Linked DNA regions of Macaca fascicularis. The protein of the gene in region 2 binds, or shares a complex with, the protein of the main gene of each other region. Links are inferred from orthologs where the notes say so. Each region holds a gene or a part of one and is shown on either strand. Other genes may lie near its edges.

Region 1 (4,298 bases), on a different chromosome or scaffold from region 2:
TATGTGAAGGCCAAATGCTTATACATTCTCAGACCTCCCAGAATAACAAGTGATGATGCATTCTTGGTAAATAAAAAATGACTTGAGCTTCTTGGCAGATACGTGAGACTCAAAATGGCATTCCACAGGAGATATTGTGTGAAAGTCATGTGTGACTGTTTATTTCTTAAAGCTTGAGCCACCAGGAACCTTTCTGTTATTTCCTAATATTTTCTTTAAAATATATCAATATTCTATACTTCCCAATAGGAACTGACAGATAAATTCTACCTGAAATCCAACTATACAATTTCTTATTCTCGAAAAGTTGCATGACTACTTTTAGTTATAAATCTTCAACCTGGCATCTGCCTAGACTAATACAAATTCAGGATATGCATATATGTCTCGAATTAATCTCTATATAATAGAGCTGAGATTTTTAGAAAACTATCTTATTTTGCTGGAGTGGAAAGAAAAGCTAATTTGTTTAACTGGATATCTCCCGCATGAGTCTGAGTCCACAGAAACAGTAAGCGGACAGCACAGCAAGTTAGAACAACAGAGGATACAAATAAATATGAACATTGCTGGGCTGACTCTTTACGTGTGACCCACTATGTCCTGAGCTGTCAGGAAGGGACAAGTCAATTTGACTGATCAACTCTAGCAACGTTGTAGAATATTATGATTGGATTGAATATTTGGGTTCTGTAGTTCTTACTAGGTTTCATAAGGTTCTTAGATTAGTACAAACGGAAAGATGTTAAGAAAAATGTAAAAAACAAAAAAGGTCAAGTGTTACATTTGAGGTTTCTCTCCCTTGCCTCCAAAATATTTGACATAAGAATCTTCTTACCAGAATGTTATGGTTGTCAATCTTCAGTAGAGTAGCATTCAAGTCAGTGCAGTACTGCTTACTCTCTTTCCATGTTAAGTTGTGCTTGAAGAACCCATAGCAGTTATCTCCATAGTATCTCCAGTTTGTGTCACAGGGGCTGCATTTATGACCTTCTGGAGAAACCAAGCACAGGAATGGTGTATTTTTTCTAAATTGGGCTTACATGTTCTCCACATTCAATGTTTTCTGCATATCTCAAGACTCCCTTCAGTTGCCATAAGAGAAATGCTCCAGGGGTTGGAGAGATGAAGAGGTTAAAAAAACAGTACTTACTGAAAGTGCCCTTTAGTTCTGATTGTTTTATTACATATTGGCAGAAACGCTTTGCTAATTGTTGCAGAGTTCCTGTGCGATTTTCATTCTCATCTTGTAGGTAATTGTGCTGCATGACAGCTAGATTCAAAAAGTAAATAATAATAATTTGTAATTAGAACCATAGAAATGATGCAAAGATCTGTCATTGAATTTTCATTTCATTAACATTGCCAATATGTGAGGAGTTAACTAGATACACATGATTAAATGAATATTGAAAAGTGTGAAGGGGCTATAAAGAACAAATCAAGAAATAGAACTGACACCTGAGGGTTAATGAGTGAACTGTTTGAAGGAGACAATGACAAATAAAAAAATCCCAACATCAGTAATATCCCCAGAGCTTGTATTCACTTGCTTCAATACAAGCTTCTCAACTGAGTTGTAGAGGTGAATGACCTTTTATTTTCTGTACTTTCTGTGATGCCAAACTATTCATTCATTTAAAAGTGCATACTGATTTCTTGTTATGCTTAAAGTACTTGTGATATTTAGGTAAATAATAAAGAAATACAGGATGATAAGTGTTAGATTCTAACATCTTTTAAAAAATCAACAAATGCACAAACAAGCAACAACTCCACAGACTACAGTGTGCCATTGGAGGGCTGTGAGAATTACAGAAAGAAGAAATGTGCAATAATTTAGTAAGCAAAATGAGAAGCAGAAAACGTTAGACAGAGAGAATAGAATGAGAAAAATTTCAGACAAGGAAACATGGAATTTATATATGAAATTGAAAAACTCTAGTTTGGTTGGTTCTTAGGATATGCAAGATAGGAAAAGGGACAAGGAAGTTTTTAAAAATAGTTTGGATCCACACTGAGGAGGGTCTTAAAGGCTGGTAGTACATTCTTAAAAATAACTTTTAATTAATTAAAATCTTAAAACCTTATCTTAAACTCAAGGAAATGGTCAGCATTCTCCTTTATTGAGATTCTCTTGGTAACTATCTGTAGGACAATTGGAGTAGTGATAAATACACAAATAGTGACCATTGAGAAGCTTAATGGGATATGCCATGACCCTTTCAGTATTACCTTCCTCCAATCAAATTTCTGGCAGAGTCAATACTTACACCAAATCCCCAGAGCTACCAGCCCGACAACCATCCCCATGCACAGAATCAGCAGAATCAAAGCCATCACACGCCACCAGGAGGAAGAAGCAGGATCAACTGTAGGCATATAATAAAGATATCAAGGAGCAGGCAGTACGGGTTAGCTATGGGGAAGGCTCACCCCTGCCCCTGCCCCTGCCTTCTCAGGGTCCTCCAAGTAATAGAAAGAGCTTTGCTGGCAGATCTCACCTGTGTTCTCTTGATGATCATCAACAATAGGCATGGCCCACTCCCATACCACACACCCATCCTCATCCCCAATGGACTTTACCTCTCCAAGCCAAAATATTACTTGCTGTTAAGGCCTGATGCGTTTGTATTTTTTGTTTTGTTTTGTCTTATGCCCACCCATTCCATGAATAATTGTTTTAATAAACAGCAAATGAAGAATCACACTCATTTGCTCACATTCAGAAAACGAAACTTCCAAACATTCTCTTCCCTTATCCCCTTGACTTCTATGCCCTCCAGCATTAAACGTTCAGAACCTTAATGCAGTTTTCCCTGCATGTATATTGGATGCTTGTAATCTAAATAGGTCTGTATGAGCTTATGAAAACACTACTCAAATGCTTTAGAGCATTAACATCATTCAAGAAAAAGAAATTAAACTATATACACTATCCATAGTAGAAAAAGAAAAAAACTGAATCAACTCATTTTTTAAATTAATTTCCAAATTATTGGCTCTGAGCATTCTTACCGGAGATGAGAGCTGGTTTTCGAGTTTTAATATTTAAGGTGACGTATCCATCTTCATCCTGCATGGCTTCCCGAGTACTGCAACTGAGCTCGGAGTTCAATGACTTTGCAAAATGTAGTTTCCAAGTCTTACAATCTCAATATCTGTCAGTATATGATCTTCCTGTCTCTAGTAGGGTAGAACCATGTGAGATGGGACACATTTTTTTCTTTGCTTATTGTTTTCCAGGAAGCCTTTTCATAGCTGCTCAGAGATACATGGATCTTGAACACAAACACACAAAAATAATAATAACTTGTGGTAAAGGAGTAGATAGGGTATTTGCTTCCTGTTTTTTTTTTTTTTTTTTATCTTCAACACTAAATAAAGGGGCATTCCATCATATGTATCCTTTCCAAGAACAAAGGTTCCTGCTTTATCTTAGCTCTAGCTTAGTCTAAATTATATTGCTGAAATGAGAGATTTCTGATGAAAATTCACGGATAGCTCACCAGCAGATATATAGTTTATCCCGTTGTGAGAAGCAAGTCTAATATAATTGGATCTGACAGGGGCTAAATTAGCTGTTTCATAGTCTTGTGTTGGAGGAGATCATTCCTGATTATAACCTAGAATTTATACAACTTCTTGCATATTTTATACATTTTATTTTTTATTTGAAGGATCCACATGAGGCAGGCCTGATATTGCTTAGATTTAGGTATTGAAGGAAAACTATCAAATAAAGTAAAATAATACAGAGTGAGTGACTTGCTGCATTGTTCTTTACTAGTGTTTGTGCTTTAAAGTGAGTTTCCTGGAATGGAAGAATTTTGATTTGGTGAAATCACTTCATTTCAAGTACAGTGGTGCTTAGATGAATATTTAAGACTGAATGAGTCCTAGCACCCTTCCATCACAATGTAATATGATTGCACATATTTAACTTTATGAAATGTGCTTTTAAATTATCTTAGCTTGCATTGAAAGTAGTTATAAGCACAGCCATACAAAGCTAGCTGATGCGTTTATTATAGGAATATTGGGAAGGATGTTATCTATTTTGCCAGAGAGTAGCTCTTACTTAGTTTTATGGCTGATTTTTACTTTTGTTAAATCGCCATGACTAGCAAAACTTTTAGTAGGCATTTACCTTATAAATAATCTAAATTCTATTTTTCTTTAATTAGCAGAGTATTCAACTTTTCAATATAGTTGTTACGTGGGCTGTAGTAGGCGATATTTTGTTTATTAACTTGCCCTTTGGCATAGCTTGTAGATTTTTTTTCTTCCCTGCTATA
Region 2 (4,476 bases):
TTTTAAATAAAGCAGGCCATCTTTCTTTCTGAGTGTGACCTTGGAGTTACACATACGCAAAATAGATTTGCATCTATTCTTCATCTAACAGGCTCAACAGACAATGCACAGTTCCTCCTGTCAACAGACATTATTGACACTAGAGTCATAAAATGCATCTCCAAGATGGGGAAGTCAGTTCAAGAAAGATTATCTGTATCACTAGTTTTCTCCTTCCATTTCCAACCCCTTGGCTCTAGGGGTGTTGCCCCCACCCCTCATCTTCTTGGTTCAGGGGCTCAGCTCCTGTTTGTAGCCTCAGGACAAGATGTTACCAGGGAGATCTTTAGAAATGCAGAATCTCTCACTACCCCACAACGGAATTGCACCTGCATAACCAACGCCCCAGGTAGATCCGGCTGAGAAGCTATGATGAAGGGTAAGGTTTACCAAATGTTCCTGGGGACAAGTTCTCCTGCGACACTGGTTTAAACTAGGAATTCCCAAAAGGTCTGATTAATGAGTTTGGAGTAGAATCCAGGAAACTGGGTATTTAAAACAATCTCTCCTGCGATTCTTAGATAGTAAATTTATAATGGGGAGGAGTCAAAGATAAGCATCTGAAAACAATTTTCACCCAGTGTGGCGCTTCGAGACAGCGTTACGTTCTTTTGTTGAAAGGAATTTGTGGCATCTGGGAGTGGAGCAGAGACCACTTCCCAAACTCCTGTTCTTCTTATTTATTTATTTTTTTTAATTCCAACAATTCAGAAGGAATTAAAGTAAAAGACGTAAGTTCTCCGGTTGCTGATATCTGGTACCTGAGATCAAGGCAAGATTGCTTAAACCAGTAAAGTGAGGATTATGGGGGCAAACTCAGGAATAAAGAGGGTGAGCTCGGCCTGGAAGGGGACACAGGTTTGGCGACCAGATGGGTCACCAATTGGCCCGGCCTAATCCAACTGCGCACGCCGGTGGGCCACAGCATCGCAGGGCTGGATCTCCTGGTCGGGAGAGGCGGATGGAATTCAGCCTCTGTTTCAAAACTGCCAAAGCCACCCGCTCTGCCAAACTCCCCCACCAGCCAGCTCTGGGACAGCCCTCCGGAGCCCACCCGCTCCCGTCCCCGGGACAAGGGCGCAATTGACCAGCGCGGGCAGCCTCCGGCCCACCCAGATGACGGCCAACTTTTTTTTTTTTAAGCCATCAAATTCAATATTTACAGGCACAACCCCATGCTTGGTTCTAAAACTACTGGCCACTCAAGGAACAGTTTACTTCTCACTTCTGCCCATAATAAGAAAAACAGACTTGTGCCTTGCTCTTAAAAGAAAAAAAAAAAGAATAATAAATATAGGTTTTTAAAAATTTATATATAATTTTTTAAACCCCGTTTGTTGCATGTGGTCCCTTTCCCTCCTGTTGCTGAACAGAAGAAAAGCCTATTTTGCCAGGGCCCACAGTCCTGGCGGCCCCCGCAGCTGCGGCCCTGTAACTTTAAACCTGGCCTGAGATCATCGTTTTGGCGCCGGCCAAACAGAGCCCGAGGGCGGGCCTAGCGCGCCCGGACGGAGACCACCTTGCGGCCGACCCCGCTCCCCCGCCTCCTCGGGAGAGATAAATGCTGACTCCGCTCGGAAAAGTTCTCAACTGCAAAGTTTGCTGTCCGGCTGCCTGAGGTCTGGGAAGCTCGAGCACCCTCCCGCGCCGGGGCTCCTGCTTCCACCGCTCCGGCCCCCACCGTCGCGCTCCTCCAGGCTGGGCCTGTGGCCGCGGCGCTTTTTAATCTTCCCCCAGCGCAGAAACTTGCTGCTCGGCCCCTAGGAGAGCAACTCAACGGGAACGATGTGGAAGGTGTCAGCTCTGCTCTTCGTTTTGGGAAGCGCATCGCTCTGGGTCCTGGCAGAAGGAGGTAAGACCCAGCGCAAGTGGCTTCCTGCGGTCGCTGATGGGGACGAGCGAGCAGAGACTTGCTGGAATGCCCGGGCCTGGTATTATTCGAGGTTGTCCAGGGGAGCGCGGGGGAGCTGAGGGTGTGTGCGTGCCAGGCGGCTCAGCGCCGGAGGAGGAGAGGCAGCGGCTTAGCCGGTGCCAGGTCCCAAAGACGCAGCTGCGCGGGTGTGCAGGGAGGAGCCCCGGAATCCACAGGCTGCGAGGTGGGCAGCAGAGGGGGCCTCCCTCCGAGTCGGCAGCGCCAGAGAGATCGGGTGGAAGGTTCACAGTAGGCAGCCCCGCTTGCTGGCAGCAGTGCCTGGGGTTTCCTTACCTTGGGGCGGTGTGTTGGAGGAATACGCACGCCTCGGGAGAAGCTGGCCCCATAGAATCGGGAGGGACGTTCAGGAGGGCTGGGGCCAAGAGGAGGGTTCCCCTCTCTGCGGTGGCCCTGGTCCCCCTTGAGACTACCTAGTCTGGTGCCCTGCCTGTTGGACGCCCTCAGCACCCCATCACTGGACTGGAAGAGGCCTCCTTTATCCTCCTTAGAGAGGATGGTGTGTGTGGAAAGGATCCAAGTGGAGGCTTCCGAGCGGTATGAGTGCATGAAGATTGTTACACGTTATGAACGTTGAGGTTTAAGTGGGTTTGAGCCACGTGTTCATCTTGGGCAACAAGTACAGTGACTGAATGCCTGTTGCTGACTCCTTAGGCTTTAAATGTATTGGGTCCCATGTTGGGGTGGGGGCGTCCACAGCTTCTATTCTCCTTTGTCCGCTCCTGGAGCCTTACCTCTTCCTGCTGGGTTGCTGTGTTGGTGGTCTCCGTTGACATCTGTCAACATTTTGTTTCTTTTCTTGGGTTTTTATTTTTATGTTTCCTCAATAGAACACATGTTCCGAAGGACGCAGCTTACATGCAGCCTTGATTCCCCACAGCCGAAACAATGCCTGGCACATAGTAGTTGCTCACTAAATGTTGGTTGAAGGAATTGTAAGCTAATTCGTGATCTTTGGGGCTGGAAGTTGCTGAGCTGTGCTGTGAAAAGTAAACATTTTCCAAAAATTGAGGATCAACGTAGGCCTAGGCCCAGAGGAATACTTTTGGAGAGGGTGGTTTGCAGGAGGGGTGCTCCTAACCTGGGCTCCTACAGTTGTCCACACAGACAAAAATACCCAATCTCAGGGAAATGATAGAGTGTACTGCTCTGTGCTGGGCTGTCTGCTTCAAAGGGACAGAGCAACTCTTTTTATAGGGGCCATGGGTTATTCGTGGCAGTCCTATCTTTGGAACTTCTCTTTCCACTGGAATATATACAGTTCTGTATTTTCAGTTACATTTCCTTTCTGGCGAGACAATGTGCAAATGACACCGTTTTGTGCTCACCAGGGCAAAGTGAGGGAGTGCCCTCACTTCAGCATCTCAGCCCTGCTAAAGAAAAAGCGGCTGGGTAACATCCTTTGTTTTTGCCCAGGGAAGCTTTAGCTGTGATTCTCTTCAGCCAGCTCCTGAATGTCAAAGGTACTCCTAAAAGATGGCATTAAAACCGAAAAACCGTCGTTGGTGCTGGAAACTCCACTACTAAAGAAAGAAGTGGTATGGGGGGCTGGCTGAGTGAGGGTGGGTGCTGAGTTGCCTGGCTGCCAGAGGAGCAGAGGCCCAGTAGGCTTTTTGTCTGAGAATAATGAGCGAGGCGACTTGAATATGGATGAATAACATTACTGAGGGAGGCTATAGTTGGCTTTTGTTGGGGAGCTGGGCTGGGGGGTAATTACGGTGATGAATTTTATGATCCTTTTCATAAGATCCTGCGCCCTACTGGCTTTCCCTCCTCCAGCGTTATAATCTGGTTCAGTTTTATAATCTGGTCCCATGTGTCATCTCTTTGGGTGTTAGTGGATTCAAAGGAGGTCTGTTGTCCACACATCTGGCGTTTTCTTCCTTTGTCAGGCCCCACCCTCATGCTGAACTTTCATCGGGAAGGCACGTTTTCGGGGCCTCTTCGTTGGACAGTTTATTTTGTGAGATTCTGCAAGCTGCTGCTCGCTGCTAACCCACATGGGCTTTTCCGGGACCAATCCACCCAGGATTAATCATGCGGCCAACAAATTTCCCTGTGATTTCCCCGAAACGCTTGCCAGTTTGGAGGCCCTGAAATCCTCATGAGTTGTTAAGAGTTTTTGTTGCACTGAAGGCACTTAATAAAGATCAGGTCTGTTAGAGGCTTTGTGAGGGCGGTCTCTGCATTGCACTGGTGTATAAGATCCAAAATAGCATTGAATATAGAAAAGCACAATTTAAAAAGTGTGTCCAGGCATGAGAAGACTGAGTCTGGACGTGGCCGAAGGAACTAAACCCCTGACTTTCTTTGGCTTCTATAAAATGAGCAGCACCTGAGGGACTCTACACTGTAGAATTATAAGGACCCCAAGCCTTGGCGTGACAGTGGAGGGTCAGACCAAGAAAAAAGGACAAGACCATCCTTCCATTCCCATCGCCCGCCACGTGCTAGGAATGTTTCTAGCTACCTCTTTGGATCCTTGTAACACCTGTAAATTACATGCT

What was found.
Region 1: the proteins of PDPN (region 2) and C-type lectin domain family 1 member B are in contact, whole or in part, in a crystal structure (PDB 3WSR), measured with the Homo sapiens proteins. The link is inferred for Macaca fascicularis from reciprocal best matches to the Homo sapiens genes PDPN and CLEC1B. Residues at the interface, in NP_006465.4 of Homo sapiens: Ala46, Glu47, Asp48, Asp49, Val50; in NP_001380271.1 of Homo sapiens: Arg107, Phe116, Arg118, Arg152, Thr153, His154, Leu155, Arg157.

The regions. Positions count from the first base shown.
Region 1 is NC_088385.1:10,910,288-10,914,585, reverse strand, and holds the start of C-type lectin domain family 1 member B, read right to left. Parts: upstream 3,104-4,298; 5' UTR 3,083-3,103; coding exon 3,019-3,082; intron 2,373-3,018; coding exon 2,274-2,372; intron 2,149-2,273; exon of another isoform or gene 2,087-2,148; intron 1,274-2,086; coding exon 1,154-1,273; intron 994-1,153; coding exon 839-993; intron 1-838. UniProt on the Homo sapiens protein: C-type lectin-like receptor that functions as a platelet receptor for the lymphatic endothelial marker, PDPN.
Region 2 is NC_088375.1:221,697,426-221,701,901, reverse strand, and holds the start of PDPN (podoplanin), read left to right. Parts: upstream 1-1,627; 5' UTR 1,628-1,824; coding exon 1,825-1,891; intron 1,892-2,025; exon of another isoform or gene 2,026-2,135; intron 2,136-4,476. UniProt on the Homo sapiens protein: Mediates effects on cell migration and adhesion through its different partners.